Linked DNA regions of Struthio camelus. The protein of the gene in region 2 interacts with the protein of the main gene of each other region in a biochemical or structural test. Links are inferred from orthologs where the notes say so. Each region holds a gene or a part of one and is shown on either strand. Other genes may lie near its edges.

Region 1 (15,052 bases), on a different chromosome or scaffold from region 2:
GGTGCCCAGCAGAGGTAAGGCTTCGTGCCGCTTACGCAGATGGAGCGGACTCGTTGCGATGGCTGTGTACTGCGTGCGTTCCTGCTGGAGAACGGTCTCTGTCCAACAGGGCAAGGGTTTGTGGCGTGTTTTAAGTAGCGCAGAATTGTCTAGATTCTTCAAGCTTTTGTGGCCTTAGGTAAACTGCAGGCGCACCTCTCTGATAAGCAGTGAGGAGAGGAACCGGTAAATTAGGAGGGAACTGGACCAAGTTTTGGACTTTGAAACTGACCCCCTTTTGGAGCAGGTAAAGACGAGGTCCTAGAGTCCGGCTGCCCTTTCGGAGATGCTGCACACTGTTGTTTGTTCTCGTTGGCGACGTCTTCCATCCTCTGTGAACAATAGACTAGAAAGAGTTAAGTTACTAGCCTACCCCCAGCTGCAGTGGTGTACTTTTTCCACTCGTGAACAGCGTGAAGGAGTCCAGGCATTGCTAAAGCTTCAGTAAACATGTGCTGTAAGAGCAGTGATAAGTGCCTTCACAGCTAAGTCTGTCTTGCACTAGCTCCTCTGGCGCTTCAGAAAGCAGCGCCAGCAAGATTTTAGCCCTGCTTGAGCTATAAGGGGTTGGTTCTGAAGAAAGTGAAGTTTGCTAAACTTGTCACTAGCATCTGAAGACCTTTTCTCCCAGCTGTAAACAGTTGCGTCCTTGCTCCTTGGTGGCTGCTTTGGCAGTTATGTGCCGTAAGCGTAATCCCTCCCAGAGCTGTAATTACAGGCCTTCTCTGTATGAAAAACAAAATCCTACCTCCTCCTTAAGGTGGCTCTGAAGAGAGGCTTTCCAGGCTGAGGTGGGTAGACTGGTATGCGCTGCAGGCCTGAGCTGTGCTGGGTCTGAAGCCACCAGCTTTCCCTTGGCACAGAGACCCCGAGGGTAGAGGTGCTGTGCCTGGGCACAGGAGGCACTGCTTTGTCTGGGGGCGCACCGCAGGCTTGCTGGGAAAGGGACCGTGCTGGAAGAGACCCGCTCGGAGGGCAGAGCGGGCAGCCAAGGCTTCGGCCCCGCCCGGGATAAGGACAAGGCATGGCCTTTCAGAAGTGCTTTTAAGTTTTGGGTTATTGATGTGTTTTCTCTGTCAGACTTCAATTTCCCTGCTGTGCTTGAGGCACAGAAGGGAAGAATTACACCAGGTTAAGCAGAGTTTGCAAGCTCTGGAGCTCCTTTTTCTACTGAGCCTTAAGTTTATAGCCTAATATTGTAGGCATAGTTAGATGAGCTGTGTGTGAAATGCCAAGATTTAACGAAGTCGAGCCAAATTTCTGCCTCAGTACTGATGGTGCTAGAACCAGTTACACAAGGGAGGAGGACTTTAGACTACAGGACTTTGTAAATGAGTAAAAGCAAGTAAATGTTTACAAATAGTATTGTGTAAGCCCTTCTGACAGGGGCTGTTTGGAGGGCTCATGCAGTAAGCTATGTTCAGAGATCTAAGTGCCCAGACTGCTTTCCTCCTGCTTTTAATAACCCACTTGGAATCTGGCCTGTGCTACTTCAGTTCCAAATGGACTAGACATCTAAGCAGCCTAGTGCACTTATCTACAATTAAATCCTATAAAACCTCAATGTCAATACCACTAACGCGTGTTTGTTTCATTCAGTTGCTTATAGGGCAACCCAAATGTTATCAAGTGCCGTGCACCGGGCACTACAGAATGACAGGAGGCGATTTAAACCCAAACAAGCATGACACTGTTTCCTGGATGCCGCCTGCTGACTTGCCCTCCTCCCCGCACTGAAAGGCTGGCTTCCTCAGCCGTGTCTCTGAGCTATCCAGTTGTTTTCACTGTACCATTGTAAGAGGCTGCAACTTTTCTTGAAAGGACGGGTATCTCCTCTCCCTCCCCAGCTTATGTAAGGTGTGTTTTCTCCTAGGAAGTGGGTTGTAGCTTTGCAGCGCCTCAGGAGTATGTGTACCCTCTAAGGGACTTCAGTACTGCTTAATACTGAAATAATTTTAGCAGAGACCAATCAGGGACACTTGACTGAAAAGCCCTGGCTTGTCTGTGGAGCGTCCGCCCCAGTCAGTAACTGGAGATTGCGAGAGCGTCAACCAAATCGGTGTTTAGGATGTGACTAAGCTGCATCTGAAAGACTCTGCTACAGACTTGTTCCATTCTAGCTGTCACAAAGCACTGGGAATACTGCCCGTGGGAAAACTGCTTTCCTTGGCGCTCAGGGAACTGCCTGTGGTGGCACTGCGTGCACTGCCAGTGTCGCATGCTGCACCCATACACAAAGACCAGCTAGCGCAGGAGCCAGATCTCTCATGAATATGTGGATAAAAGGTATTCTTGCTGTGGGTTTGGTCTACTGGGATGTGACCGGAGTGAGGAAGGGAATGAGAATTCAGGCCTCCCTTCCTCTGCTGCCTGAGCTGGATCCTGAGAGAGGCGACCGACTGTTCTGGGAATCGGGAGTGCTTGATTTTTCCTCTGGGTCAGGGCCCTATTTGTCTGCAGTTGCAGCTCAAAGGGAGCCCTCTTGAAGGGGGGAGCCCCCCCCCCACACACACACTCCCTTGTCATCTTGGGAATGGGGGCTGCTAACGAGGGCTTGCTGCTGGGCCTCCTCATCTTAGCCCATCTTGCTCTGACAGCAGTTTTGCCCTGAAGTTGTTTGTTAAGCTGCAGGAGTGAGCTGCTGGCATCTGCCCACTCAAACCACCATTACCACAGTTGGAACAGCCGCCCGAGCAGTGCGTGGGTGGCACTTCTCTTCCCCGCTCTTTCCAACATTTTCTTTTCCAGTGCGCTTCGTGTTTTGTTTCTTACTTTTCCGGGAAGGCTGAACTGTTAACCAAACTTAACCTTGCGGTTGTGCAAAGGAAGAGAAAGGCCAGCTGTATTTCTGATTTCTCCCTGAAGTGGTTCTTGCAATACTGCAATATCTGTGACATAGGGTGGTGCCTTCCTACAGGGAAGGGCATTTAACTGATGTGCTGAAGATGTTCGCTTGCTGGCAAATAACGCTCAGATGATAGATTTGCCTCGGAAAGTTTTGTTTAGATTTTGGTACTTTTACAGACACATCTCCTTGGAGAGTGTATTTCTTGCACTTCCCAGTCTGCAGTCCCTGCCAAGAAGCGTGCTGCACCTGGCACAACTGGGGGACTGCTTCCTGCTGACCAGGTCCCCAAAAAACCTGACTAGATCTGGACTTGGGGATCTGCCTGCAGCCGTGTCATTTCTGGGTGACTCCTTAGTGCTTCTGGCCACGTCCACATGTTTGTGCTCTGAAGAATTGCTCACTGCAAGAGAGCTGTTTACAGGCATCCGAACGGATGATAGGATTCTCCAGAGCTCAGTACTTGATTCAAAACGTTGTGTACTTGATGACACTAGGTTCTGCTTGATAGGAATGTAGCCTTTACCCTCGGACATAAGAGCTTGCAGTGCAGGTGGACTTTGCCAGGCAGAGCACTCATGTACTCCTACAGCCAGATTGCGGGAGGGCAGGGAGAAGTCATCTGATAAAAGCTAATAGCTGGCACTCCTCCAGTAAGACTGTGTCGCTAGTAGTTGCCAAGTGACCCTGCTGGAACACCTCTGGTGGGAGGTTTGGGAGACACCTCTCCCTCCCCTCTTGTGTAGTGTGGGCGATGCAGGGGGGAGGAGGATGCAGGGTAAGCTTGGGCTCCGGGGGAAGAAGGCAGTGCAGGAGGGCGGTTGGGAAGGGACTGGTTTGCGTGCTGTGGTGCTCTTGCACATCACTTGAACAAGAACAGCCAGTTGATTACCTTTTCACTGGCCAGCAGCACGCTGCTCTTTCATTGATGAGCGCGTGTTCATGCCATCAGATCTCTGAGACCCCGCGGTCTTGTAATGGGGTATGTCACTGAGAGCTGCGGGTTCCTTGTACTAACCTGTCTCTCTTCTCTCTCGTCTGATTTTCAAGAGTCCGTCGTAGGGAGCTGTATGGACAGGAGTTCCCCTGGACAAGCGATGCAGGTGCCTGACCACAATGGATTGGGCTACCCTGCGCGACCAGCGTCCAGCGAGCATCCGCGGCCCAGGACCCTGCAGAGACATCACACCATACAGAACAGTGATGATGCCTACGTAGGTTTGAAGAGCCCTGTGCCTGGCGGGTCTTAAGACAGTGCAGAGCCTCCCTGAAGTGTATGGGTTACACGTGAGGTGTCCAATGTAGAACAGACAGCTTCCTGCTCTGTGCGGCTGCTGGGAATAAAATGCTGTGGGGGACACTTCACTTAGCATGCCCAGTTTGCTTAATATTGAAGCAGACTCCCCAGGCAGCCTGTCAGAAGAATCGGGGGGGGGGGGGAGCAGCAGGGTGTGTCTTTCCGAGCCCCTTTTGACTTGCGTCCCCTTGTCTCCGCAGGTGCAGTTAGATAACTTGCCTGGAATGAGTTTAATGGCAGGAAAAGCACTAAGCTCTGCTCGGATGTCTGATGCTGTCCTCAGCCAGTCGTCACTCATGGCCAGCCAGCAGCTGCGTGACAGGGAGAGCGAGGGTAAGGACTCGCGCCAGGCTGTGGAGGCATCTCCTGGAGGGCACAGGACGCTGGGGGTGTGGGTCAGGAATTGGAAAGAGTCCGCGTCGTTCTGTCGGACAGCTGGCAGTCTGGGCTGCAAAGCCACCTCCGCTTCATTCGAATGAGCGGAGCCTGCAGGGTGCAAGGTGGGGGCACAGGCTGCAGGGGAACCCGTGCTGCTTGAAGGGTGGCTGAGAACGGGGTAATAGATGTGCTTCGGCAGAGCTGTGGCAACTGAAGGGTTGGCCACCGCTCGCGGGCAGGAGCTCGCCGATATGATCGTGTCCGTCTCTTAATACTCTTTAGATAAACTGAATTAAAGAGAACTTCAGTTTCTCACTGTACTTGAGGCCTCGATGGATGCTTCAGCCATCCCTCTTCCCCTCCCACCCCTGCAACACCAACGTTCTTTGAACGTGAGCCTGTAACGGCTTGCAGAGCTTCCCTCGCTGCTGCTGTCTGCCAGAGCCCGGACGTGTGGCAACAGTGATCTAGACTTCCTGGAGGAACGTGGGCAACCTCTCCAGCTGGCCTGATCCACAGAAAGCAGAATCTGCAGATCAGCAGAAACTGTAACTCCATAGCGCGCTCTGTACGAACTTGACCTCGTGTTTTGATCTTACAGAATGCGGGGAAAGTTTGGAAGGTCAAGAGCATCCCAGCTTGGGCGATGGTAACCAGCATCTAAACACCTCTTGTTACCCATCGACATGTATTACAGACGTCCTACTGAGCTACAAGCACCCGGAGGTGCCCTTCGGGATGGAGCAGGCAGGAGTGTAACAAGGAGGAAGTGAGTATTCAAGCCGCCTCCTTCTCCCCTCTGCCTGCCTGCCCGCTCCAGGGTTGCCTTGGTGGCAGACCCGCAGGCCCGTTGGCCTGGCTTCCCTGTGTGCCTCCTTCCCTGTGTCAGCTTTTGCTCTAGTCTTGGCGCAAGTCTGAGGAAGAGACTGTCAGCTGCGAGCCTCTGCCCTCGTGGCTGTCTGCTGTTGCCTGCGGTCACCCAGGGACAGTGCCCCTTCCTCTATTTTTGTGCTGTTGTTCTGTTCTGGGGCAGAGCTTGTGGGCCGGACTGGGACAACTGGTAAAGGGCTGGGGAAGCAGAATTGCCTTCCTGTGGTGTCCTTTAACACATCCCTGCTTCTTCTCTCTCTTTTGCAGGTTTTATGTACAGCTTTGAAATGAAAAGGTCCATTTTAAACCAACAGTATCTAGCAGCATTGCGCCAAATTGCCGTAGTATTTCTGACTAACTGGAATACCATGGCCCCTTTCCTCATAATCAGTTCATCCAGTGTGTTGTTCCTTTGGTTTCTTTAATTTTTGCCATATTTGCCTGTAACTCCAGCTATCACAGAAATAGCAAGAGAACCCGAGTCCTACACGTTGGCAGGGGATTCACAGAGCCCGCGCGCTGTGTCTGGTTTCGAGGGCTTTTACTGTCCGTGGCCAGGCAGGCCCGAGGGGGGCGTGGGGCCGCTCTCGCCCTCCGCCCGTCTCTGCTCGAGGGCCCGGCAGCAAGCCGGAGCGGCTGGGCCTGCCCTCCGGAGCCTGCCTTGGCGGGGAAGGGACGAGGCAGGTGGCAGCGCAGCAGAGCTGGGGCAGCCGGTCTCCGTCTCGGCGCAGAGCTGGCTCCAGGCGGCTGGAGGCTGTGGTGTCCTTCCACCTTTTAACCCTTTGCACTGGGGAAGGGCCCGGAGCGACCTGAGCGTGGGAGCAACGCGAGGAACGGACGTGCCAGCCTGCGCGGCCCTCCTGGGGCCCCCAGCAGCCCCCGGCGCGCCCCGCCGCCGGGCTCCGGCAGGTGGGGGGCGCCTGGCCCTGGTGCAATACGCTTTTCGTCTCCTCTTTGTCTGCTTTCGTTCTTTATTTCATTTTGTCACTGTGTAAAAGGATCACTTCTCCCCCCTCCCCTTGTTTACCTTTTCTTTTCAAATCCATGTACAACCCTTTTTTTTTTCTCCCCCCCCCCCCCCCCAGCTTAATGTAGGGAAGACAGATTTTCTTTGTTTTCTTAGCTCTTCCTCCTGATCACGTAGGAATTGTTTTTTGGTAAATGTTGTTTTATTATTATTGTTATTAATAAAAGGCAAAAGGAATTTCTGTTTGAGAGAAATTTTTAACTAGATTCTGTTCTATATGAATTGTGACTTGCACCTTTTGTTCAAAGTATTTTATTTCTTTTAATGACATTGTAATTGTGACTGGTTTTCTCTCTCGTGCCAGTGGCGGAAGTGGTATTCTCCTTTATACAGTTCAAATGTGCATAGGTCTCCTCTTTGTTCTTCTTTTAATTCTTTCCTTGAGTGATAGAAAGCAAAGCGCCCTGCAGCAGTCGGGGCTCGGGGAGTACGTGGTGTCATCGTTGCCTTTGGAACTTTACGCGCTACGACAGAAATCCTTCTTATTGACACTTTTTTGGAATTTTTTTTTTTTAAAGAAAAATCGATCCAGCCCTCCTGAATTTGCACAGAAGGAAGTGTGAAACCAGCATGGCAAAGGTTAATTTGCTACCGTTACCAATGCCTCTTCCCTGTCCTCCCTCCTCCTCCTCCTCCTCCTCCCCCTGCCCCCAAAGAAAATAGTGCTCCATGGATCTGCAGTCTCGAAAACCGGAAAGGAGAAAATTCTGCAGCTGACAAACAGCATCTCCCGGGTCAGCGTTTCTGCTGAAATGCTAGTGTCGCGCGAGTGTTGGTGGTGTATAGCTATCGAGTTACGTTCTTAACCTTGTGAACTAGGTGGCATGTGTGTGGGGTCGGGGGGGATGCGGGGAACCAGGCAGGGCTTGCCGGACTTCAGCGGGAAGATACCAAGAAACCTTTTGCTCTGTACCTTTGATTTGTTTTTCTTTTGTTTACATGACACTGTATTTCTGGGAGAGTTGACAGCCACCCTACAATAAGCATCCAAAAAAAGCAGGGACTCGCTTAACCGTGCCATTTCGCAGTATCACACTTTTTTTTTTTTATCATTGCTTTGTATTGTAGTAATCAATACGCGCAGTATATGTTGAATGTATATTAATATACTTTGCTATTATTTCTGTTTTTTGGAAATGTCAGAAGTATTTTTTCTTCCTCATTTATGTTGGACTAAAAGTTTCAGTAAAATCTTCAGTCCATTTTTTTGTGGGTCACTTGCAACTAGTCAATTAGTTGGACAGTGGGATCATGACAAATAAAACCATGATTACGACCTTCTGTGGCCTCGTGTTTGCGTGGTTGCTCAATGCTGGCTCCGCAGGGGGGACGGTGGGGTGAAGGCTGCGGGCGCTCTTCGTGCCCAGCCTGCTCCGGGGACCCCAGCTGCTGGGGGCGGCAGGGGCCCGCGCGCTGCCACCTCTGCAGCCCGGCGAGGTGGCGTGCGCCTGATGGTGCCTGGGAGCGAGATGTTTTTCTGAAATCGCTGGCTGACGGTCCCTGCCCCCCCGCAGCACCGTGACCTCCAGCGGGGGCAGGTGGAGCGGAGCTGCGCCGCGGCTGACTCATCATGCGGCTGAGTCGTGTGCAGCCGCGGCGGCTTCCTCCCGCGCCGACCGCAGCGGAGCGGCTGCCGCTGCCGCCGCCGCTCCAGGCCCCCAGCGCAGGGGCGAGGGTTGGCCGCCAGCAGCCAAGCTGGGCACCTCCAGCCCACGCCGCAGCGCCCAGCCCTGCTGCCTGGGCTGCGCGGCCCCTCCCCAGCTGGGGTCCGCTCCCTCACCCTCTACGTAGGGCCTCGTTGCCACGCTGGGATCCTTGCTGCTTTCTCCATCCCTCTATTCCCTGGCTCCCCAGTTCCTCGCCTCGAAGCGCGCCGCCTCCGTGCTGGAGCAGCCCTGGCAGCTGCCTGGCCGGGGCAAGCACCCAGCAGAGCCGCCTGCCCGCCCTGCCTTATGCCCCGGCAGGCTGCGGCTGGGCTGCTGCCCCCCTCCACGTCCCTCTTGGGGCAGGGAAGGGCAGCGCTGGGGATTGCACCCGCTTTGCCACGTACGTCCTGCTGAAGCCGGGCTTTCGCAGGAGCCGCGCCGCTCGGGGGCAGACAGCCTGAGGCCCTTCGGCTGGAGGGCAGGAGCTGAGATGGGCGCGGGCCGGGGTGGAGAGCTGCGGAGAAGGGGAAAGCAGCTCTCTCGCGATGAGGGAAGGGAGCTGTGCTTCCCGAGCATCCCCGCGAGGCTGCGGCACCGCAAGGGACGGGTGCCGGGGGATGCCCTGGGCGGCCGCGCTCTCCAGGGCGAGCCTTTGCCTGGCCCTGGGGAGGGCTGGAGCGAGCACGCAGGCAACCCTGGCTCCGGGCTGCATCGGGAAACGGGGGGCTCTCGGGGCGACGTGGCCAGCGTGGGCCTCGCCGGCTCGGGGGAGGATGGGGCAGCAGCCTGCGATGGTGGAGAGAGGAAGACGAGGGGTTGGGGAGCAGCAGGCCAAATCCCTGCAGGTATAGACCTTGTGCCCGGGCTCCTGGCCAAAACCCGGGGGCTGCCGAGAGGCCCTGGTGGGGCCGAAGCAGCGTGCAGGAATCTGGGTCACCCGGCGCGTAAACAGGCTGCTTGGCGTGCGAGCCGCGTGCCGCGGGGAGTTCCTGTTTGCTCGGCCGCCCCTGCCAAGTCGGCGCTCCCGGGCCGCGCTGGCCCGCGCCGGGGCTGTGCGCACGATCCTTGAACTCTGCGCGCCACCTCGCCCGCGCCGCGGAGCGATTTCTCACTCGGCGGCGCTGCCTTATCTCCGGCGAGAGCTGCCCCCTCCTGCATAAATAGCGGCCGTGGGGAAGCGGCGGGCTCACACGGGACGGCCGGAGCGGAGCAGCAGCAGCAGCAGCAGCAGCAGCCAGCTGGTAAGCGCCTGCGCTCCCCCGGCCGCCGGCGCGCCGGCCCGGGCTGCCTCCTTCGGCGGGGGCCGCCCCGGTCTGCCGCCCGGCGTCCCGCCGTGGGGCGTCCGCCTCGGGGCAGGGTGTGCCCGGCCGGTGCCTGGCTGCCCCGGCCGCCCCGGCGAGGCCGGGGGGCTCAGCCGGCGCTGCGGCCGTCGGGGCCGGCTGCTGAGCGCCGTTCCCGCCGGGACGGGCCTTTCCCGGTGCTGCCTGCACCCAACCGTCTCGCTCTGCCCCCAGGTTGAGCCCGAAGATGAGAGCCGTGGTGGTGGCCCTCGCCCTGGTCTTCCTGACGGGTAGGTCCGAGCGGCGCCGGGGCAGCGCCGGGCGCAGCGGGGAGGCTGCAGGCGCCCGGCCGCGGGGCAGGACGGGGCAGCCCAGCCCGCGCGCGCCGCGCTGGAGGCGGCCGACTCGCAAAGCGCTTTGCCGGCTCCACCGCAGCCGAGCGCTTCCCGCAGCGGCCGGCCCCTTGCAAGCGGGGCTTGGCCCGGCGCCGCGGCGGGGACGGAGCTGCCACGACCCCCCCGGGCGCTCTGGCCTCAGCACGGCGCGCTCTGCCCCGCAGGCACCCAGGCCCGCTACTTCTGGCAGCGCGATGAGCCCCAGACGTCCCTGGACCTCCTCAAGGACATGGTGGACGTGTACCTGGACACGATAAAGTCCAGCGGCAAGGATGCCATTGCCCAGTTCGAGGCCTCTGCTGTGGGCAAGCAGCTTGAGTAAGTGGGGTGGGTGGGTGGCGGGGCATCCACCGGGGCCACCGGGGCCGGGTGCCCGTGCGCCCGGGCCGTGCGTGACCCTGCCGCTCCGCTCTCCCTAGCCTGAAGCTGGCCGACAACCTGGACAAGCTGAGCGCGGCCGCCACCAAGCTGCACGAGGACATGGCTCCCTACTACAAGGAGGTGCGGGAGATGTGGCTGAAGGACACGGAGGCCCTGCGCAAGGAGCTGAGCAAGGACCTGGATGAGGTGAAGGAGAAGATCCGGCCCTTCCTGGAACAGTTCTCGCAGAAGTGGACGGAGGAGCTGGAGCAGTACCGCGAGCGCCTGGCGCCCGTGGCCCAGGAGCTCAAGGAGCTCACCAAGCAGAAGGTGGAGCTGATGCAGGAGAAGCTGACGCCGGTGGCTGAGGAGGCGCGGGACCGCCTGCGCGGGCACGTGGAGGAGCTGCGCAAGAACCTGGCGCCCTACAGCGAGGAGCTGCGGCAGAAGCTCAGCCAGAAGCTGGAGGAGATCCGGGAGAAGGGCATCCCCCAGGCTGCCGAGTACCAGGCCAAGGTGATAGAGCAGCTCAGCAGCTTCCGCGAGAAGATGACGCCCCTGGTGCAGGACTTCAAGGAGCAGCTCACGCCCTACGCCGAGAGCCTCAAGGCTCGCTTCATCAGCTTCCTGGACGAGCTCCAGAAGAAGATGGCCTGAGCCCCATCCCACTCCCGCTGCCCCCAGGCCCCACGGCCACCCCCAGCCCTGCCCCGGCGCATCGCACCTGGGGAGGCCGCAGGGACCGGCCAGCCCCGGGGGCTGCTCCGCGGGGCCCCCCGTCCTCCTGCTCGCCACCCTGCCCTCCCCGAGCCGGGGTCTGTCTCTGCTTTGCCTTTCTTTTGTCAAATAAACATGACTTAAGTTATTGGAGCTCACTCAGTCTTTGCAGTGGATTCTGGAAGCGGGGCGGGGGGGGCAGGCCGCCTGCGGGCACTCATGCCATGAGCGGGGTCGGGGCTCAGCTGCACCCTGAGCAGCGGTGCTGCGACAGGGGGCTAGGGAGGGGGTGCTGCGGGATTTGGGGGCTGCAGGGAGCCGGTCGGGGTGGAGGGGCTGCAGCCCCCGCTGCGGGGAGCCCGCAGGGTGGGTGCCCCGGGGGGCTCCCTGCTGCTGCGGCAGCCCGTGAGCCCGCGGGTGCCCGTCTCGGCTCTGCCCAGGGTGCAGCGGGGCTCGCCGCTCCCCCCGTGCTGGGCGGCGCAGCGGGGTGGGCGACCGCGGGGCAGCGCTGGGCTGCGTGCCGCGGGCGGCTCTCCCCGCGCTCGGGCCGCGGTGCGCCGCCACCGGCCGCCGCTCCCCGGCGCATCGCCGCCCCGGGGCCCGCGTGGGGCGTTGGAGCGCGCCGCTCGCCCGGCCCCGGCGCAAGCGGGCAAGGAGCAGCCGCCGGGCGCCGCCGTGCCCAGCCCGCAGCCGGCCCCGCCGGGCGCCCCGCGGCCCCCCGCGCCCCGCCAGTGACCCCCGCCACATCCGTCTCGCTTCAGCTCCGCTTTATTGCCGCGAACGCGACGCGGCCGGCGCGCTGCTCCGGGGGGTGCCGGGCGCCCCCGCTCCGCTCGGCGCGGAGGGGCTAGGAGGCCGGCGTCCGCTTCCACAGCTCCGTCAGCTGCTCCTTCAGCCAGGCCAGCTGCTGCCTCGCCAGGGCGGCGTTATCCGCCAGCCATTGCCTGCAAGGGGACGGACGGGCCGGTCAGGGCCGCCGGCGGCTCGGCCGGCCGGGGGGCGCGGGGCGGGCGGCGGGGGCACCTGGCCTGCTGCGCCGTCTCCGACTCCCGCACGGTGGTGAGGACGCTCCTGGCCACCTCGGTGGCCTGCTGCACGTACTCCTGCACCTTCCTCACCAGCGCCGCCGGCTCCCCGGGCGCCTCGGCCCCTGCAAGGCAAGCCCCCGTCGGAGGGGGCGGCAGGGCCCGAGCCCCGGGGCCGTGCCGTCCCCGTGCACGCGCCCCGGCGCCCCGCGCGCCCCCGGCCCCGTCCTTCTCTGCCGCAGCCCTCGCCCGGCCCCTTACTTGCTCCCGCCGCCAGCATCGCCGTGCAGAGGAGCGCGAGCAGGAGCGAGACCTTCATGGCTGGGGAGAGAGGGCGGCGGGTGGCGCGGGGCGGCAGGGCTTGCGCCGGGGCCTGGCGCCTCGGGAAGGAGGCGCCGGCAGTGCCGACCCCGTCCCCCTGCCGGGCGCCCCAGCCCGGCCGCCCCGCTCACCTGGCCGCGCTGCGCCGGGGGCTCTGCGACGCAGGGGCAGCCCCGGCCTCCCGCTTTATACCCTCCGCCACAGCCGCCTCCGAGGGTGTTTGTGCAAAGGTCAGCGGCTGCGGCCGGTGGGGAGAGGAGGGCGCGTTTACGGCCGCTTTTCCAGCCGCCCGGTTTGCTCTGGAGGGGCCTGCCTTCCCCTCGCGAGTTGAGAAATCCCCCGGCGCCCGGGGGGCCAAGGCCGCTGCCCGGGGGCTGGCTGCCACGTGTGCATGCGTGCACACGGCTGCGGGTGCGTGTGCCCGGCCGCCGTGCAGGCTGCGGGGCCCCCGCCGGGGCGGCAGGCCCCGGGGTGCCCCGGGCAGGGGCAGGCCTGGGGCTGCGGCACGCGGCCCCGGAGCTGGGGCTGTGCCCCGGGCTGCCCTGGCTCGGCCGCCGGCCCTGCCGTGGGCGAGGCGAGGTGGCCGCAGGCTCTTCGGACATCAGCGTCGCTGTCCCCTCGCTAATCTCCACCTCCGCCAGCCTTGGACTTCGACCCAGCCGGGACACGTCGCTGCTGCTTCCAGCCCGCAGCGGGTCCCCCGGGGCGCGAGCTGGCCCCAGCCGGAGGGTGCACCCCCCAGGCATGGCCTGGGAGCCCCGCGGCCCCCGGCCAGGGCACGCGCGGCTCCAGCCCCGCTCAAGGGCAGCAGCGTGTGCACGGCCCAGCTGCTCCCTTGGCTCTGCCCTGCGGCACTCGGTGGCCGCCAGCACGGGGTCCCCGCGGTGTCCCCAGAGCCGCTGCCCCGGGGAGGGTCCGAGCCTGCCCCGCGGCGGGGGACGCGGGGGCTCAGCCGGGGCAGCCTGGCGGCGCTGGCGCTGGCGCCCTGCCGGGAGCTGGCAGGGCTCTCGGCGATGACAGCGCCGTGCACACGTCAGGCGCTTCCACGTCGCGACCTTGCTAAAGTCCAAGCCGGGGAGTGTGTCACAGGCCCGCGTGGATGCCGGCGCGGGTGCTGCTGCCGTATAAATACGGGCTGGGTGCACCCCGGCACGGCAGGTACCGGAGCCCGGCAGCAGCACAGGTAGGGCTGCGCCTGCGGAGCTGGGGAGGGACCGCTGGGAGCGTCACTGGGTGCATCTCTGGGTGCATCTCCGGGTGCATCTCTGGGTGCATCACCAGGAGCCCGGGTGCTGCACCAGGGCTGCCCGCTCCCGGGTGCCTTCATCTCCGCTCTCGTCTCCCGCAGACGCCGCCGTGCCCCGCCGCTCAGGATGTCTCCGAAGGCTGCCACCCTCGTGCTGGTGCTCCTGGCGGTCGCAGGTGAGGGGCGGGTGGGTGGGGGCCCTGGAGGGCTGGGGTGCCCCAGCCCCGGTGGCGGTGCAGGCCCCGCGGGGACAGGCCAGCCCTGAGCCCCGCGTCCCCACGCCCCCCCAGGCTCGCGGGCCGACGTCAGCGCGGACCAGGTGGCCAGCGTGCTCTGGAAGTACTTCACGGAGCTGGGCACCAATGCCAAGGAGACCGTGGACCAGCTGCAGCAAGCCGAGCTCACCAAGCAGCTCAAGTAAGTGGGGGGGGGGGGGGGGGGGGAAGGTGGCCCCGCGGGGGCTGGCCGGGGTGGGTGCAAGCCGCAGGGCGCCTGACCCCCTCGTCCCCGCAGCACCCTCCTCCAGAGCAACCTGGAGAGCGTCAACTCGTACGCGGCGGACCTGCAGCGGCGCCTGGTGCCCTTCGCCACGGAGCTGCAGGCCTGGCTGGCGCAAGACTCGGCGCGGCTGAAGGAGCAGATCCGGCAGGAGCTGGCGGAGCTGCAGGCCAAGCTGTCGCCCTTCGCCGACGAGGTGCACCAGCAGATCGGCACCAACATCCGCCAGCTGCAGGCCAAGCTGAGCCCCTACGCGGAGGAGCTGCGCGCCCAGGTGGACCGCAGCGCCGGGGAGCTGCGGCGGGCGCTGGAGCCCTACGGCGCCGAGCTGCGCGAGCGGCTGGGCGAGCACGCCGGCAGCGCCCAGGCCTCGCTGCGCCCCTACGCCGACCGCCTGCAGGAGCAGATCGACAGCGGCGTGGAGAGCCTGCAGGGCCAGCTGGCGCCGCTGGCCGACGGGCTGAAGGCGCAGGTGGAGCGCAGCGTGCAGGAGCTGCGGCGGGGGCTCAGCCCCTACGCCCGGGAGGTGCAGGAGGGCCTCGAGCGGCAGCTGGCGCGCCTGTCGCTGCAGGCGGAGCGGGCGGCGGCGGAGCTGCGCGGGCGCCTGGCGGCCAGCGGCGAGGAGCTGCGCGCCCAGCTCAGCCCGCTGGTGCAGGAGCTGCGGGAGGCGCTGGCCGGCGACGGCGAGAGCCTGCACCAGCGCCTGGCCCCGCTGGCCCAGCGCCTCGACGAGCGCGTGGGGCAGACGGTGGAGGCTTTCCGGCGGCAGGCGGCGCCCTACGGCGAGGCCTTCGGGCAGCAGCTCGTGCAGCGGCTGGAGGAGCTGCGGCAGAAGCTGGACTCGGGCACGGCCGGCGCCGAAGACCACCTCGAGCTGCTGGAGAAGGAGGTGCAGGAGAAGGTGGCCTCCTTCCTCAGCGCCGCGGAGCAGGCCGAGAGCTGAGGGCCACCGAGCCGCAGCCCGCGCGGGGGCAGAAATAAACGGGAGCCTTGTGGTGCACGCCGTGTCCGTGTCTGCATCCGCGTCCGTCCCGCAGCAGCCGGCAGCGATGCTGCCCGCCCCGGGCTGGGGCACAAGGCCCTACCCCCTTCGCCTTCGCCGCCGAGC
Region 2 (14,970 bases):
GTCTTCCCCTGTTACCTTTTCCCACCCTGATCCTGGTCACAGATTTACCAGAATTGCCTCTGGTAAACCTCATAGCTTGATCATTCCATCTGGAAATAGCAACTCCATGTGCCCTGGAGGGGCTGTGCCCAGCGATTAAGGTTGGGGTGGATGCCTGCAGGCGGTGGGAGGACTTGGGGCAGGAAGGGAGTATGTTCCTGGGGCCAATCTTCCTCATTCCCAGGTGGACTGGGCTCTGGCCAGCTCTGCAGAACCTGGCCACGATGAACCCTATGGGCACAGGGACCCCCGCTCCACTTCAGGACTAAGAGCATGGAATGCATTGTAGCCCAGGGCACCCTGTGCCTCTCCACAGAGCTGGCTCTCTCACCTGCCAGTTTGCTCTGATCCAGGTATTCCACAGAATAGGTCTTGCCAAAGCCAGGCACACGGATGTGTACCCCAGGGGCATTGGACATTTTTCGAGAGGTTCGATTATACACCACCCTGCAGGGAAAGGACATAAAGTAGCAGCAAGGACAACTCCACAGGGGACGGGCAGAGATCACTGGGTGGCAGCTGGGATCTGGGTGGCTATTTTCAGTTTTGTGTGGAAATAGGAGGACATGGACATGGATTGCAGGTGCCAATTGAGCCAATGTCCCCATGTTGTTACTTTGGGCTCCCTGTTCGGGGATCCTTATAAGAGATTGAAGCTGTACCACTCAGGGTGCAGCTCAGCAGATCTAGGCTGAGATGAGCCCATACTACAGTGGTGTTGGTGTGTGGGGACTCAGATGGACCCACAATGCACGAGGCAAGATGGCTGAGGACCGAATGTAATCTGTGCTCTGCAGTGTTGGCCACGGCTTCCCAGGGCAGAGAGCAGGTAGCTCAGGTAGATGATGTCCTCGCCAGGACATCCCCCAGCAAGGACGGCTCCAAGGTACAGGCTTGGCCTGCCAGCACATCTCACTGCCCCTGCAGCAGTTCCCAGGAAGGATCCCAGGTACCTGAACAGCGCTTTTTTTGCTGGATGTCACAAATGCTTCCCCTTGACAGATCTGGGGGCTGTGCTGCTTGCCAGGGCCTGCCCACACCATGAGGAGGGTGTCTGGGGGTGCGCTATACTCTGGACACCTCTGGTCACCTCTGCAATGCTTGGCAAGGGTAGTGCAGACAGACACACAGCAAATTTGTTTGTGCAGCTGGTGGGAAGGGGTGCCATAGGAAGGGCTCCTGGGGGAGCTGCCTATCCCAGAGCTGGGGGCTCTTCTCCTCCTTGGGTCAGCATCATGGCACAAGGAAAATCCTGCCTGCCCTGAGGAGATGCATGAGTTTCCTCTGACCAGCTCTGAACAGCTTCTACTGTATTACATTTCCATCATTCAGATCCTCTCTCAATGACTAGGTACTTCTAGAGCCTCTTTGTCTCATCCCAGGCTGATATCTCTGCCTGAGCACATGAATTGTGATCTATGAGCGCCAGCCACCCCGGGGGTCAGGACAGGACATCTCTCTCACCCTGCTGCCCTAGGCAGGATGGCAGTGTCTCTAGTACGTGCTGAGGATAGTCTGGATGGAACAAGCACATGGCAGGGAAACGGGAAGGGGGCAATTGGAATATGTTTGTCCATGAGAGCTGGAGCCAAAGAGGTATGTTAACACACACAGGGTGTTCAGCCAGGCAGATGCTCCTGTGGTTTCCTGTGTGTGCTGGGTCGGGTCCAGGTGGGGAGGAGAGGGGAGGGAGATCCTTGGTAGGTCATTTCCCTGGGGAGCTCCCTGGGTGGGAGGTGAGTGGTACCTGGTGTTATCGATCCAGCAGTCTACTCCCACTGGCAGGAACGTGTTGAGGTTGAGCCAGATGGTGAAATAGTCCTCAGTTTTGCGGTAGCACATCCAGTTCACCACATCTGGCTTGTCCAGCTTTGCTTCCAGCTGGTTCCCAAGGCACCCAGGCACTAGAGGCACCACAGGGAGAGACAGAGGCAGTTAGACCTCATCTCGGTGGCTCTGTGGGGCTGCTTCGGCCAGGCAGTGGTCAGGGCACCCAGCACTTCCCACAGTCCCGCTAGCCAGGGCTCCCTTGAGGAACCTGCTGTTTGATGCAGTTGGAGAAGCATCCATGGAGAACAGCCTGTACAGCCCCTTGTCCTTTCAATGCATAATTTGTGTGAGGGCTGCTCAGAGCTGGGATGCAGAGTGAGCATGGAAGCAGCGGCAGCATGCTAAAAACAGGCTCTCAGGGACCCGCTTCACTGCTTTTTCCTGTGGCTCCTGCTGCACATGCTGCAGACTGGGCCACCAGGGGATGACCGTGAGAACAAGCACCCTCACCGAATGGCTCAACATCAGCCCAAAGGTGTAACTCCCTGCCAGCACATAACATCCTGGAGTATTTCCCCCTGCCTGGATGGGTTTCCATGCTCCTCTCTTCTCTCCAGCCTGAGGGAAAGAGTCAGTGCTGCTTGGACCCAGCCCTACCACCTGCCCTGAAAGTGGTTGCATCGCACCAGCTGTCACCCCAGGCATTTTGCACTGCGGTAGCAGGCCAGCTTGGGGCTGCACGGAGAGGCCCCAAAGAGGCGTCCAAGGTGAAAGCTGTCCCCGTGCTGATGCCCAAGGCCCACACACTGTTTTCCTGAACTTTAAACCCTCCACACAGGCTGAACAAGGTCCCTGAAATGATTCAGCTCTGAGCAGGACCGTACCCTGTGGGAATTCAGTGCAAATATCACTTACAGTAAACACAAAGCTGTTTTAAACAGGTTCACGGCCTGCCACATGTGACCCAGGCTCCCTCAACAGATGTAGCACCAGGACGCCCTGTCCACCTTCAGGAGGTCCAGTTTGTTTTTTTGGCAGGGATGGGGGCTGGGAAGCTGTGCTGCACTGAAATATGTCTCTGCTCTGCCACAGCCCGTGCTGGGAGGTTGTTCCCAGCCAGTGTGCAAGAGTTGAGAGCTGTCTCCGGATGTCAGTGCTGGCCCAAAGGGTTGGGCGAGCACAAGTGAAAAGACTGCAGGGCATCATGGCTGCAAGCCTGAGAGGATGGGAGCACTGGGTGCTGACTGCACCCTACAGCTGCAGTGGGTCCACCCTGCTGTGAGGGCTGGCCCTAGACACATCTGCTGAGGAATGACATATGTCTTAAAGCTGCCGCAAGCACTGTCCTCTATGTTGCTCACCATGTGACCAGATAGGGTGATTCCCCACTGCTGACTGAGTGTATCAGCAACAGAGCCTCGTGGCATTCTACGCTCGGCAGCACTGGGAGAGCATGGGGCTGGGAAGAGCCTGGTGGCATGGCTGGGACACCTGGGCTTGGCCCAGCTCCTCCACAGGCCCTGGAAGATGTGGTCCTTCACATCACTTCTCCCAAGGACACAGCAAACCGCTCTGTGGCAGCGACAACAGGACTGTGGCCAAATGTCTTTGTAAGATGCCTGCCCTGAGCTGGCCTGCAGCCTGGAGAAGGGCTCTGCTGTGGCTGCAAGACCCTACAAGTACAGCTGGATGTAAGCCATGCTCCCTGGCATTAGGGCTGAGGGATTCAGCCACAGGTGAGGCTGTCTTTGACCCAAGAACGATGTGTCCCATCTGTCAGATGCCAGCAGGACATTTCCCCCAGCTCCTGCTAGGCCCAGGTGTCCCCGTGCCCTGGGGCCTATGGGAGTGGGTGTTCGGGGGAGCTAGACGTGCCCATGCAGAAGGGTGCAAAGGCACCCTGACCAATGTTCCAGCCCCACCTCACCTATTGTGGCCCCAACTAAAAGATGCAGAACATAGTCACAGCCTCTGAAAGCCTTGTCCCATGTGAGCGGGGAATGGGATATGGTGGTTGCCTTGCTCAACCTGCTTCATAGCTCCCTAGCACCTGTTGTAGCTCCTCAGGGATACAGGAAGGGCCTAATCCTGCCTTCAGATCACCTGGTGGGGGTCAGGACATCTTTCCCCAAAGCACCTAGTGGGGGTCAGGATATCCTCCCCAGTGCCCGAGTGGACCTTTGCATATGAGACACCAGGCACAGGCAGGGGAGCGGACAGTGAGTGGCTGCCAGACCTGCTCTGAGAGCAAGAGAAGAGTCCAGGGCAGCTCCTGCGGCAGGCAATCACCCTGAGCCCCACAGGGCCACAGCAGAGGGCTAACAGCTCCCAGAGGTGCCAGGGACTGTCAGGAGCACCTGTGGCATGGGGCAGACATCCTGTTACCTTGCTGGACTGCGGCTGCAGCTGGCTCCCAGTCTGTGGGCACCAGGCCCTGTGGGCACCAGGCCCCCACGCTCCCGGTGTGCACAGCCCTGAGCTCTGCCTCACCTTAAAAAGGACATTAGGTAATTATTAAGGGAGTTCCTGTTGGGGCAAAGGGGTTATCATTGGTCCCAAGGGCACTGGGGGTTTCTGGGACGCCCGGCTGAGGGGGATGGGCTACATGTGGATGCCGACAGGCGCACAGGGTGTTTGGTCGCAGCATTCCTGGCTGACTGCATGCTCCTGGCATGTTGGCTCAGCACCAGCTGTAGGGGCAGCCCCAGCAGCCTGAGTGCCCCAGCCTTGGCTAAGGCTGAGGCTGGCACTGGGGGCACAGGGCAGAACCAGGAGCCCAGTGCCATGGGGCACTGCCTCTGCTGGGATAGTAGATGCAGGTGCTTCGGAGGAGGCAAGGCTTGGGGCTACAGGCACCTGCCCTGGGGTGTGCGGACCTGGACTCCAGATTCCTGTGGGGCCAGGCCAAGGCAGAGGAGTTGTTTAGGGTCTGGGGGAGCTGCTGGTGGGCAGTCAGAGCAGCTGTGGGGGAAGACCCAACCTGCCCCATTTTGCAGGGCCTATCAGTGGGATGGTAGAGAAGCTTTTATTGCCACAGACCATCCTGAGAAGATGCACAAGGTTACTTGTACCACATCATTCCCTGCCCTGCATGGTGACAGCCACCAGGCCTCCTTGTGTCCTCCTGACCTCTGGCATGGCTAAGCAGTGCCTGCATTGCACCACTCAGGCTCCAGATACAATGCCGTGCACCAGGCTGTGCTCTTTAATCCTGCTGCCTCTTAACCACTAAGTAAAAGAGCCTGGCAGGCCACGGCTGACCCACGCCTGCCATGTGCCAGGCTGTGGGGCTCTGTGCAGGCTGCTCTGCTGCCCCCAAGCACAGAGGCCTGCCCATGGAGAAGTGAGTTTATAGTGTCAGTCCAAGGCCATATGTCAGGCAGTTCTGCTTTTCTCTTCTCTTTTTAAAAGGGAAACTCAGTTAGTTCGATTCAAGAAAAAGGAGAAGAAACCTCTGCTCAGAACAGATTTCATGGCAAAAACTGATCTCCACCTCACTGAGGTGATTCCCCAGGCCTCTTCTTTTGCCTCTCTCTGCATCTCAGCTAAGCAGAGAAACTGCCTGCTAGTTCATCCACCCTTATGCTATTCCCCAGGCAAGAGTGGACATTTGGTCTAACATGAGGTGGATGCCCTTCAGCAGCAGGGGAGGATGAAATTAACCATCATCATGGAGCAACAAAAGACATGGGGGATTGGGACAGGTTTGGGGGCAGCAAGGTTGTGGATACAGGCTTACTGGGATGGCAGCAGCAGCAGTGGGAAGCCACAGCACTAGGGTCTCTTGCAGGCCCTGTCCCTATGCCAGCACAGCCCCCCCCAAATGGAGTGAGCCCCAAAACACCATTTTATCCAGCTCTTGATATTCTGAGCCCCACTTGCTTTCTGGGGTACCCAGCCTGCCCTCCTGGCTCTGAAGAGCTGTGGCCAGGCATGGCAGGTCCTGTATTCCCAGCACTGCCGATAGGTGCGGGATTGGGAGCTCTGTGTCACCACCCTGAGGTGGCTCCACCAGCACAGTAAGATAGCCAGAGACTGCAAAGGGGGTTGCAGCCTCCCACTGCAGCCAACAGACACGCCAAGCAGTTCCCCATGCTGCCGGGAACAATGTGCCTTGCCTCTAGCCAGCTCTGGGGCTGTGCAGCGCCCCAGCGAGCAGAGCCCAGGATGCCTGCTGTGCCCCTGCCTGGTGCCAGGGCTGGCAGGTTGTAGGCCAGCATGCGTGATCTTACCGAGTACCACGGGTGGTGTGCTGTTGGTCGGGGGTGCTTCTGGGGTGGAGGTGGGTGGAAAGAGCACGTTGAAGAGCCAGAACTGGGATGTGGGCTGCAGGAGCAGTAACAGTGTCAGCAGCGCAGCCCCAATGCCTGTACTCCCCATGGCAAACTTGGCTGGGATCCTTTCAGCGTCTCCAAGCAAACAGCCTTTTATATTTTACGCAGGTCCGGCCAGAGGCACCCAGGCTGCAGGGGAGGGGAGAGCTGCAAGGGGCTGGCCATGATGGGGAGGAGGGACGGGGAGGGCCAAAGGATTGGTCTTGCAGACATGCTATCCCCTGAAAGCACAACCCTGCTGTGCCCATGGGCTCTCTGCACCCCGGACCCCTGCCTGTGGGTGCAAGCCAGAGCAGGCAGGCAAATTTTGCAGCCTCGTGGTACCTTAGGTGGCCTTCAGCTGCGTGCTGGGATTGTGACCACTGTGCAGGTCCCTTTGCCGTGTGCTGCGGGGTGCTCGCTCTGTGTATTTGTGAACACAACACCTCTGCACATCTTTAGTGAGGGGGTAAGCGGTGGGAGGACAACTGGCACTGCAGACATGACCAGGCAGACCTCAAACCTCAGAGGTTCCCATCACAGCTGGGACAAATCAGGACAGCCCCTCACACACCATGGCAGCAGCATATCCCACAGCTCCTCCAGCATCCTCACAAGCACTGCCGCTTCCCCATGGCCACCCTTGCCATCCTGCCCACTTATGCACCTCCCTGGGCACAGGCAGTCAGACCCCCACCTTGGGACTGGCTGAGCCTGAACACGTTCCCAGGCAGGGGCCATGCCATGACTTGCTGCCAAAAACACGTTGGAAGGAACTTGTTGAACACCAAGGGCTGCAGGGCCCATAAGATATCCCTCTGTGCAGTCCCTAGGCCAGAACGATGAAAGAAATAGCCTATGGGGAGCACGGCATGAACTCGGGGACTGCTCGGGACCCCTTGCCTGGGCCTGGGCAAGGGGTGTCAGCAGGCAGGGCTCTGCCCAAACAGCCCCCCCACCATCCCACCGTGGGGCTGCCTCCCGGTAGGGTCTAGCACCCTGCGTGGCTCCCGCTCTGCGGGGCAAAGGACGGGGACGGGATGGAGTCCCGGGGCAAGGGAGCCCCGCTGCCCTCGGTGCCAATCAGGGATCCCGCAGAACCGGCCTGAGGCCGGGGCAGGCCAAGGGGCACGAAGAGGGGGGCGGGGCGGGGCCAGGACCCTGTCCCGGACCCCCTGTCCCACTCCCGGCGCCACGGGGCCGCTCCCAGGGCAAGAGCAGACCCACATCCCCCACCGCGCCCGCCCGAGCTAAGAGGGCTCCGCAGGCGCGACACTCCCCGCCGCGCCCCAGGCCCCGCCCCGCCGGCGGGGCATATCCGGCCCTGCCCCGCTCCGCCCCTTCCCGCGGAGCGGGTTCCGGGGCCCTGCGGTTTCCTGTCTCGCTCTGCGTAGGCCCGACAAGGCCGGGCCGCGGGTCGGTAGCACCGTCAGGAGCTGGTGGGGGTGTAGGGCCGCCGCGCGGCGGGAGCAGCAAGGGAAGGGCCCGGAGCGCAGGAGGCAGTGTGAGATGGCCTTTCCCCGAGGAGAGGGGCCGGAGAGGAAGGCTGGGGCCGAACCTGGGGCTGGTGGTGAGGTGCTTGGCAGCACCGTGCTGGCCTGCTGATGCTGAGGCGTAGCTGGTTTGCAGCGATTGCAGGAAATGGCCCCCCTCACCCGGAGGAGCTAGTCCCTGCCTGGATTTCCCTTGGGTCCTCTAGCTCCCTGCCCCCCCGGGGCTCTAGTGACACAGAGAGGTGCTAAGGGGGCACCGGTTGCTGGCAGCTCCCCGGGGACCCCTGAGGCCTTCCACAGGCACTTGCCTGGGCCGAGGAGGTGGTGGCTGGTGAGAGGAAAGAGTTGCTGAGAAGGAGCCTCAGAAAGGAGTTGTTTGACCCATGTGTGCATGCATGTGGGAAAGAAAAGCTTTAGGGGTCTGGAGTAGGGCACGTGGGCCTGCTGCTGTGCCCAGCCCCCTGCTCCAACCGCCCCCCTTCCTCCTTCCCCCACCCCCTGAGTGTATGAGAGCTGGGACTAGGTCCTGCAGGAGCTGGTGGCCAAGCAAGGGCCTCTGTGTCATCAGGGTCCTGGGATGACTGGGAAAAGGGGGATGTTTTCAGTACTGATGATGGTCATGCGTGCGCCTAGAAGCAGAGGCGTTGTCAGGAGAAGTCTCTTTATTGGGCAGATTCCCCAAGGCATTGTGAACTGAGCCTGGCACCCGGGCAGGGCAGGGCAGTGCAGTGAGTTCCCATCCTAGCCCTTCAGACAGCAGAGCAAAGCCTCTCTGCTGTGTAGGGCCTGGGCAGGGCTGAGCCCCCAGCAGGTCAGGCCTTGAGGAGTGCCCCTGGCTGTGTCCTGGGGATGCTGCTGTCATGCTGGGGTTGGCTGAAGTCCTGCTGTGGCCCAAGGTATGGCACAGGCCAGTGCCAGAAGGAGAAAGAAAAGGAAGAATCAGTCCTGTCCCACCTGAGCCATCACCCCCTCTCTTTCAGGCTGTACAGCACTAACCATCTGACATGACAGGAGCATGCCAGTAGCAGGCAGCTCCAGGCATCTCCCCTGGCTCCAGCGCTCTCTGCCATGACCCCCAGGAGCCCTCCATCCTGCTCCGCATGGCCTCATCCCTCCCAGCTCGGCCTGGGAAGGATGCTCAGCGATGGCTGGAGCAGCTGGCCAGATCTTGCTTTTATTGCAGACCCAGCACTGGAAACTGGAGAAACTGGTAAGAAAAAACAAACCAAACTTCCTAAATATGATCCCTTCTGCCCCTTCTGTCAAGGGCAGTGCTGGGAGCTGCCCTTCAAGAGCTGGCAGTGCTGGGACTGCCTCCCCTGGCCAGGGCAGGTTTTCTGCCTGCTCTGAACCCAGTGCAGCCCCTGTTTGTGTCTGGGCCAGGCAAGTAGAAAAAGGCTTCCTCAAGTCTCCCTCTCAGCTTTTCATCTTTTTCTTTCTCTGGTTCTTAGTAGCAGAAGTTGGGTTATTTGTATTACTTTGGTTTCCCTGCAATTATTAGCAGGCCGGTGGTTTGCTAGGAGAAGCTGGCACCCCTCAAATTTCATTTTCCCAGTAGAACCATGGCCTTATAAGGCAGCGCTTTTACCAAATGCAAATTGCTGGCTGATGCCTACTGTCTTTGGAGACAGATGTGCCCTGGTGTGCCCGAGCCTGGTCATGCTGCCTGCAACACAGGGTGGGCAGAGGAGATGTGCTCCCTGTTTTGGTCCTGAGAGCAGTATGGAGCAAGGACTGTGTGCTAGGCTGTTTGCCTAAGCAAGGGCTGCAGAACAGGCACTGAAGTGGGATGCAGGAAATGGAGCTGTTTGCTTTTATTGGTAGCACATCCTGCACAGTGGAAGTGTTAGCAGGAAGTCAGCAAGATAGGCTAGACCCATGCCTGGCCTGACCTTCCCCTAGGGGTCTGATCCTATAGCTGAGGGGAAGAGCAGCTCTTCTGCATGCCCCTACCCTGGCAAGATGCTTTCCATGTCCTGCCTGGCTGACACCTCTCAGCCCAGCCGGGGGGACCCCTGTCTCCAGAGAGGGAACAGTGGGGCAGGAGGTGGTGGAAAGCTTGGGCACACCCTGCCACCGGGCTGTTGGCCTCCCCCTGCAGAGCTGTTCCTCCAGGCAGTGGTAGCTGGGCGATGCTGGGGATGGGGCTCTGCCCAGTTTTGAGGCAGGGACGCTGCTGGGAGCCCCTGTCTGCTCGTGCCGGGTCTCCTGTGGCCCCTGGGTTTGGCACAGCCCCATTTCTATTGCCACAGGGGCAATTCTTACCCTGGCAACATGGCGCTGGGGCTGCAGCTTGGTCCCCATGCACCACTCGGGGCAGCAGGAGGGCTACCCAGCTCTTCTGTGGGAGCAGGCATCAGGGTCCATGGGGGTTGCGTGGCACCAGCTGTGGGGAGGTATCACTGAGGCTGGGTCTGCAGCATTCCCTTCTGGCCTGTACAAGGTGCTGAGTGTCCCTGGGGCAGCAGGAGGGGAGGCAGACCAGGGGCCGGTGCTGGGACAGGGCACCTGTGACCAGGGGGATGGGGTTTGGTCCTCCTTGGTCCTGCTGGGCCCAGGAGGGTGGCAGCAGGCAGGATCTAAGTGGTCCCTCAGCTGCTCTTGCCACAGCAGCCTTCTGGTCCTTTGTGTCCCTGGCTCAGCATCAAGAGCTCAGCTGTGCCCTGTTCCCTCTGCAGGACATCCTCACCCCTTTTCTCACCTTCTTGGGGACCATCCTGTGGAACTCTAGCTGCTGTGTGTCAGCCAGCTGAAGGCCAAGCTGGACGGCCAGTAGCATCCCAGTGGATGGACGGTGAAGCCCCTATGCATCTGGTTGGGTAAGAGCCTCGTGGCCAGAAGACCCAGCTCCCAGTGCCGGAGGTGACAGGGAAGGTGTCCCCAGATCCCTGGCATAGGATCTGGGGTCAGACCCTGGCAAGGTCCTTGGGGACATGGGCCCATTTTGTGATCTCCAGCACTGCACCGCTCCTTCCATGAGGACAACCTTGGCTGGCAGATGCCAGCAGTGGCAGCTGTGGTCATGGCAGCCCCACTGCATCTTGTAGGAGGCATGTGTGATCGCCACAGGCAGCCCTGGGCCTTGGACAGAGTCCTGCTCCCCGTTAGAGGAAGCTGGCTGGCTCCTTGCTGGCACAAGTCACCTCCACCTTGGTGAGCCCTGGTCTAATTTGGGCAGTGGGAGCCCCTGCTGGCACCCCATCACTGATGCTAGCTCGCTGGGTTTCCTGCAGACCTCATCTTGACCTTCTGGCCAGGGCATCCTGTGGTGATGGGCCCCAGACACATATTCCCTATGAGGTAGGTGAAAAGGCTGTTGTTTACCCTTCTTTCTCCTTTTTTGTTCCCCCATCAACTCCCTGCCTCAGTTTCCCCTTCTGGGCATGGTGCCGGCCCCCAGGCAGCTTGGGGGCTGGGTTGGAGGAGAGTCAGGCTTGAGGCTCTCCAGCCAGCAGGATTTGAGCCAAAGATGCCAGTCAAAGCACAGCTCCAGAGTGGGGCTCCCTGCTTTGTCTCCTGGCAGGTTGTACTACAGGCAGGGCTGTTGTATGGGAGAAGATAGAGCTGATGCAGTGTAACAGCATAAAAACCAGCTGGGGAAAGAGGCTTGCTCTAGAGCTGTTGTGGGTGGAGAGTCTGCACTCTCCCGGGTGAGTATAGGATGAGGGCTGTCCTGCCAAGTGCCGGTTGGAGTGGAACCGGGAGAGGGACCAGGATGAGGACCAGGGCTTGGATGGGGATGATTAGGGCAGCCGGGGCAGCAGTTGGTGGCAATGCTGGGGAGGCTGGAACGAGGACGGTCCCCCAGAAGCAGGACCATCTGCTTTGCTGTGGAGCTGGGCCAGGTGAGCCAAGACGCTCAAAATGCCCTGTGGGGTGATAACGCAAGACTAGGGGCTTTGGAAAAATGAGGGAATTCATTTAAAAAAATAAAAAACCCTGAATTGCCTCCAAAGGAACAGCGCAAAAAGCAAGATGCTTGCAGGTCACTCAAACGTCTGGCATTGAAAGCACAAATAACCTGGGTGCTATGACTGGAATGGTGAAAGGGGCACAGTGAGTGACTGCCTGGCTCCATGGGAAGGCAAAGGGGCTGCTGTGGGGCAGCAGTGGGGCGATGGGGCTGACGACAGTGTCAGGGCCGCTAGCTTTCCCTGCAGCAGCATCTCCTGTCACCCTGGGAGCCGCACGTTGTTCAGAGGGAGCTTCATTGCCTTTTGCTGAAGGCTAGATCCTGCATGTTGCAGTCCCTTACGGTGAGCAGCAGGGCGCTGAAGTCCTGCCTGGTATGGGGCTTGGCCTCTTCCCAGCATGAGGCAGGGAAGGCACAGCAGCAATGGGGTCCTGTTGTGCTGAGTACCCCAACTTGGCTGGGAGTGATCCCTGTTCTATGTACTCTAGCGCCTGAGTGCCTGCAAGAAGAAGAGATTTCCTGCCAGTCCTTCCCTTCTCCCCTCTGCACCAGGAGAGCTGAGCAGGAGGTGGCCATGCTGGAACCCCATGACACAGCCAGAACCCTTCTTGGGGTGCAGAATGCCTATCCTTCTGGGCAGGATCCATGTGTCCATGATGTCTATTCCATCTGCTGGGCTTGTCCCACCCCTGCAGTGCTGGCGGGGATGCTTCTTGCTGCACAGGTGATGCTCTGTAATGATCTACCCTGCCTGGCTTTGCAGGTCATGCATAGGAAATCCCCAAACATGGCTGGTGAGACACCTGGAGGCTCCCTGTGAAGCAGTGACAGGCATCGCCTGCAGCACACGAGATAACCATGCTGGTGAGGCCTGGGGACAGGGCAGCGCAGGCCCCTCATGCTGCCAGGGAACTCTGGGGACAAAGTGCTGTGTTCCCTGGGGAGAGCAATTTCTGGCAGGGAGGAATAGGAGCCATTAGGGAGCTGCCTGTGCCAGTGCCTGTGCCAGTGCCAGCACTGAGCATTGCAGGGGTGTGCTGGCAGTGCTTCCTTCTCTGGACCAGGGAAACTGTTTGCCTGTGGCACCTTGCCAGCCAGACCAGATGGTGGGATAGTGCTGGGGCAATTTCTGTTCGAGTTTCCAGCAAGGCTTTTGACACTGTCTCCCATCACATCCTCGTAGGTAAACTCAGGAAGTGTGGGCTAGATGAGTGGACGGTGAGGTGGATTTAGAACTGGCTGGATGGCAGAGCTCAGAGGGTTGTGGTCAGTGGTGCAGAGTTTAGTTGGAGGCCTGTAGCTAGTGGTGTCCCCCAGGGGTCAGTCCTGGGTCCAGTCTTGTTCAATGTATCCATCAATGGCCTGGATTGAAGGCACAGAGTGCACTGTCAGCAAGTTTGCTGATGATACTAAACTGGGGGGAGTGGCTGACACACCAGAAGACTGTGCTGCCATCCAGAGGGACCTGGACAGGCTGGAGAGCTGGGTGGAGAGGAACCTCATGAAGTTCAACAAAGGCAAGTGCAAGGTCCTGCACCTAGGCAGGAATAATCCCATGCAGCAGTACAGGCTGGGGGTTGACCTACTGGAAAGCAGCTCTGCCGAGAAGGACCTGGGAGTGCTGGTGGACAACAAGTGAAGCCTGAGGCAGAAATGTGCCCTTGTGGCCAAGAAGGCCAATGGTCTCCTGGGGTGCATTAGGCAGAATGTTGCCAGCAGGTGGAGGGAGGTGATCCTGCCCCTGTCCTCAGCCCTGGGGAGGCCTCACCTGGAGTACTGTGTCCACTTCTGGGCTCCCCAGGACAAGAGAGGCATGGCGCTACTGGAGAGAGTCCAGCAGAGGGCTACAAAGATGATGAGGGGACTGGAGCATCTCTCCTGTGAAGAAAGGCTGCGAGAGCTGGGCCTGTTGAGCCTGCAGAAGAGAAGACTGAGAGGTGATCTCATCAACGTGTACCAGTAGCTGAAGGGGGGGTGTCGAGAGGATGAGGCCAGTCTCTTCTCCGTGGTGCCCAGCAACAGGACAAGAGGCAACGGGCATAAACTGCAACACAGGAAGTTCCGTCTGAACCTGAGAAAAAACTTCTTTCCTGTGAGGGTGACAGAGCACTGGAAGAGGTTGCCCAGAGAGGTAGTGGAGTCTCCTTTGCTGGAGATATTCCAAACCCGCCTGGACATGATCCTGGGCAATGTGCTCTAGGTGACCCTACTTGAGCAGGGGTGTTGGACTAGGTGATCTCTAGAGGTCCCTTCCAACCTAAACCATTCTGTGATTCTGTGATTCTGTGATTCTGTGATTCTGTGATTCTGTGATTCTGTGATTCTGTGATTCTGTGATTCTGTGATTCTGTGATTCTGTGATTCTGTGATTCTGTGATTCTGTGATTCTGTGATTCTGTGATTCTGTGATTCTGTGATTCTGTGATTCTGTGATTCTGTGATTCTGTGATTCTGTGATTCTGTGATTCTGTGATTCTGTGATTCTGTGATTCTGTGATTCTGTGATTCTGTGATTCTGTGATATCATTGTTTATTTTGGATTTCTTGTTAGTATGTTTTTCTTGTCACTCTTCATTTTGCTTCTCAGTTTGCAGCCATGTTATCTGTTCCTGAATTTGACTGTTCATTGCTCGTTGTCACTGTTCATTTAGCGAATAAATTCTATTTCACTGAGTGTTTCATTTTACTTATTGGTTGTTTTACTCAGCGTTCCATTCACTGTAAAATATATCCAGTCTTGGGACATTGTTTTTCTCTATTCACTGTTCCTTTGGCTTTTTTTCTGCCATATTCTCTATATTTTCTTGTTTCTTGTGCCTATTATGACTCTTCCTTTTGCTTGTTTTCATTAAAATAATTTGACGTCGAGTTAATATGGCTGGCCAGTGGACTTCTTACAATGGAAGAAGGCTATGAGGAGACAGGCAAGGGCTTTGCACTCATGGAGCTCGGGGAAGTACATAGGGAGTGACTGCCCACTACTCTTGCAAAGAAAGCTGAAACATAGATAGGAGTGAGGGGGTGCCTTTGTTCTAGATGAACGGCTGGATGAGCAGCGTGTGTCAGCAGAGTGGGCCAGCTGGCTATATGAGTGGAGTGGATCAAGTGGCTATTATCAGCTGGGAGAATCAACTCACCGTGAAACTGTTTGTCCCTGAGCTAAATCAAGAGTGCAGACGTCTTCCTGAAATAGCCAGATCAGCAGGGGGGGGAGGTGTGTATATATATGCAGCTTAGCCCAACAAAGAATATGAAAACTGAAGAAGAAAGAGTAGTTTGAAGGGAGTAACAGGCTTAAGTTAGTTTAAACCCATGTATTCCTCCAGGCACTGGGGATGCCCAGTGTTTTGATGGTGGGCATGTTATAGAGAACAGCAATGAGAACCACATTTGTATTGTGATTCAACTGCATATTGCAATTGCTATACTCTGCTAACTGTAA

Evidence for each region.
Region 1: the proteins of LCAT (region 2) and APOA1 form a complex in vitro, tested with the Homo sapiens proteins (6 studies listed by BioGRID and IntAct, with this or other methods). The link is inferred for Struthio camelus from reciprocal best matches to the Homo sapiens genes LCAT and APOA1.

What each region holds. Positions count from the first base shown.
Region 1 is NC_090963.1:1,391,250-1,406,301, reverse strand, and holds APOA1 (apolipoprotein A-I), read left to right. Parts: upstream 1-8,695; 5' UTR 8,696-9,343; intron 9,344-9,616; 5' UTR 9,617-9,629; coding exon 9,630-9,672; intron 9,673-9,941; coding exon 9,942-10,095; intron 10,096-10,196; coding exon 10,197-10,794; 3' UTR 10,795-11,012; downstream 11,013-15,052. Other genes in the region: serine/threonine-protein kinase SIK3, read left to right, coding at 1-14, 3,935-4,098, 4,382-4,514, 5,161-5,318; APOC3 (apolipoprotein C-III), read right to left, coding at 11,702-11,798, 11,878-12,004, 12,141-12,198; APOA4 (apolipoprotein A-IV), read left to right, coding at 13,214-13,383, 13,549-13,622, 13,737-13,863, 13,960-14,887. UniProt on the Homo sapiens protein: Participates in the reverse transport of cholesterol from tissues to the liver for excretion by promoting cholesterol efflux from tissues and by acting as a cofactor for the lecithin cholesterol acyltransferase (LCAT).
Region 2 is NC_090951.1:24,508,475-24,523,444, forward strand, and holds the start of LCAT (phosphatidylcholine-sterol acyltransferase), read right to left. Parts: upstream 6,312-14,970; 5' UTR 6,190-6,311; coding exon 6,042-6,189; intron 1,944-6,041; coding exon 1,787-1,943; intron 487-1,786; coding exon 371-486; intron 1-370. UniProt on the Homo sapiens protein: Central enzyme in the extracellular metabolism of plasma lipoproteins.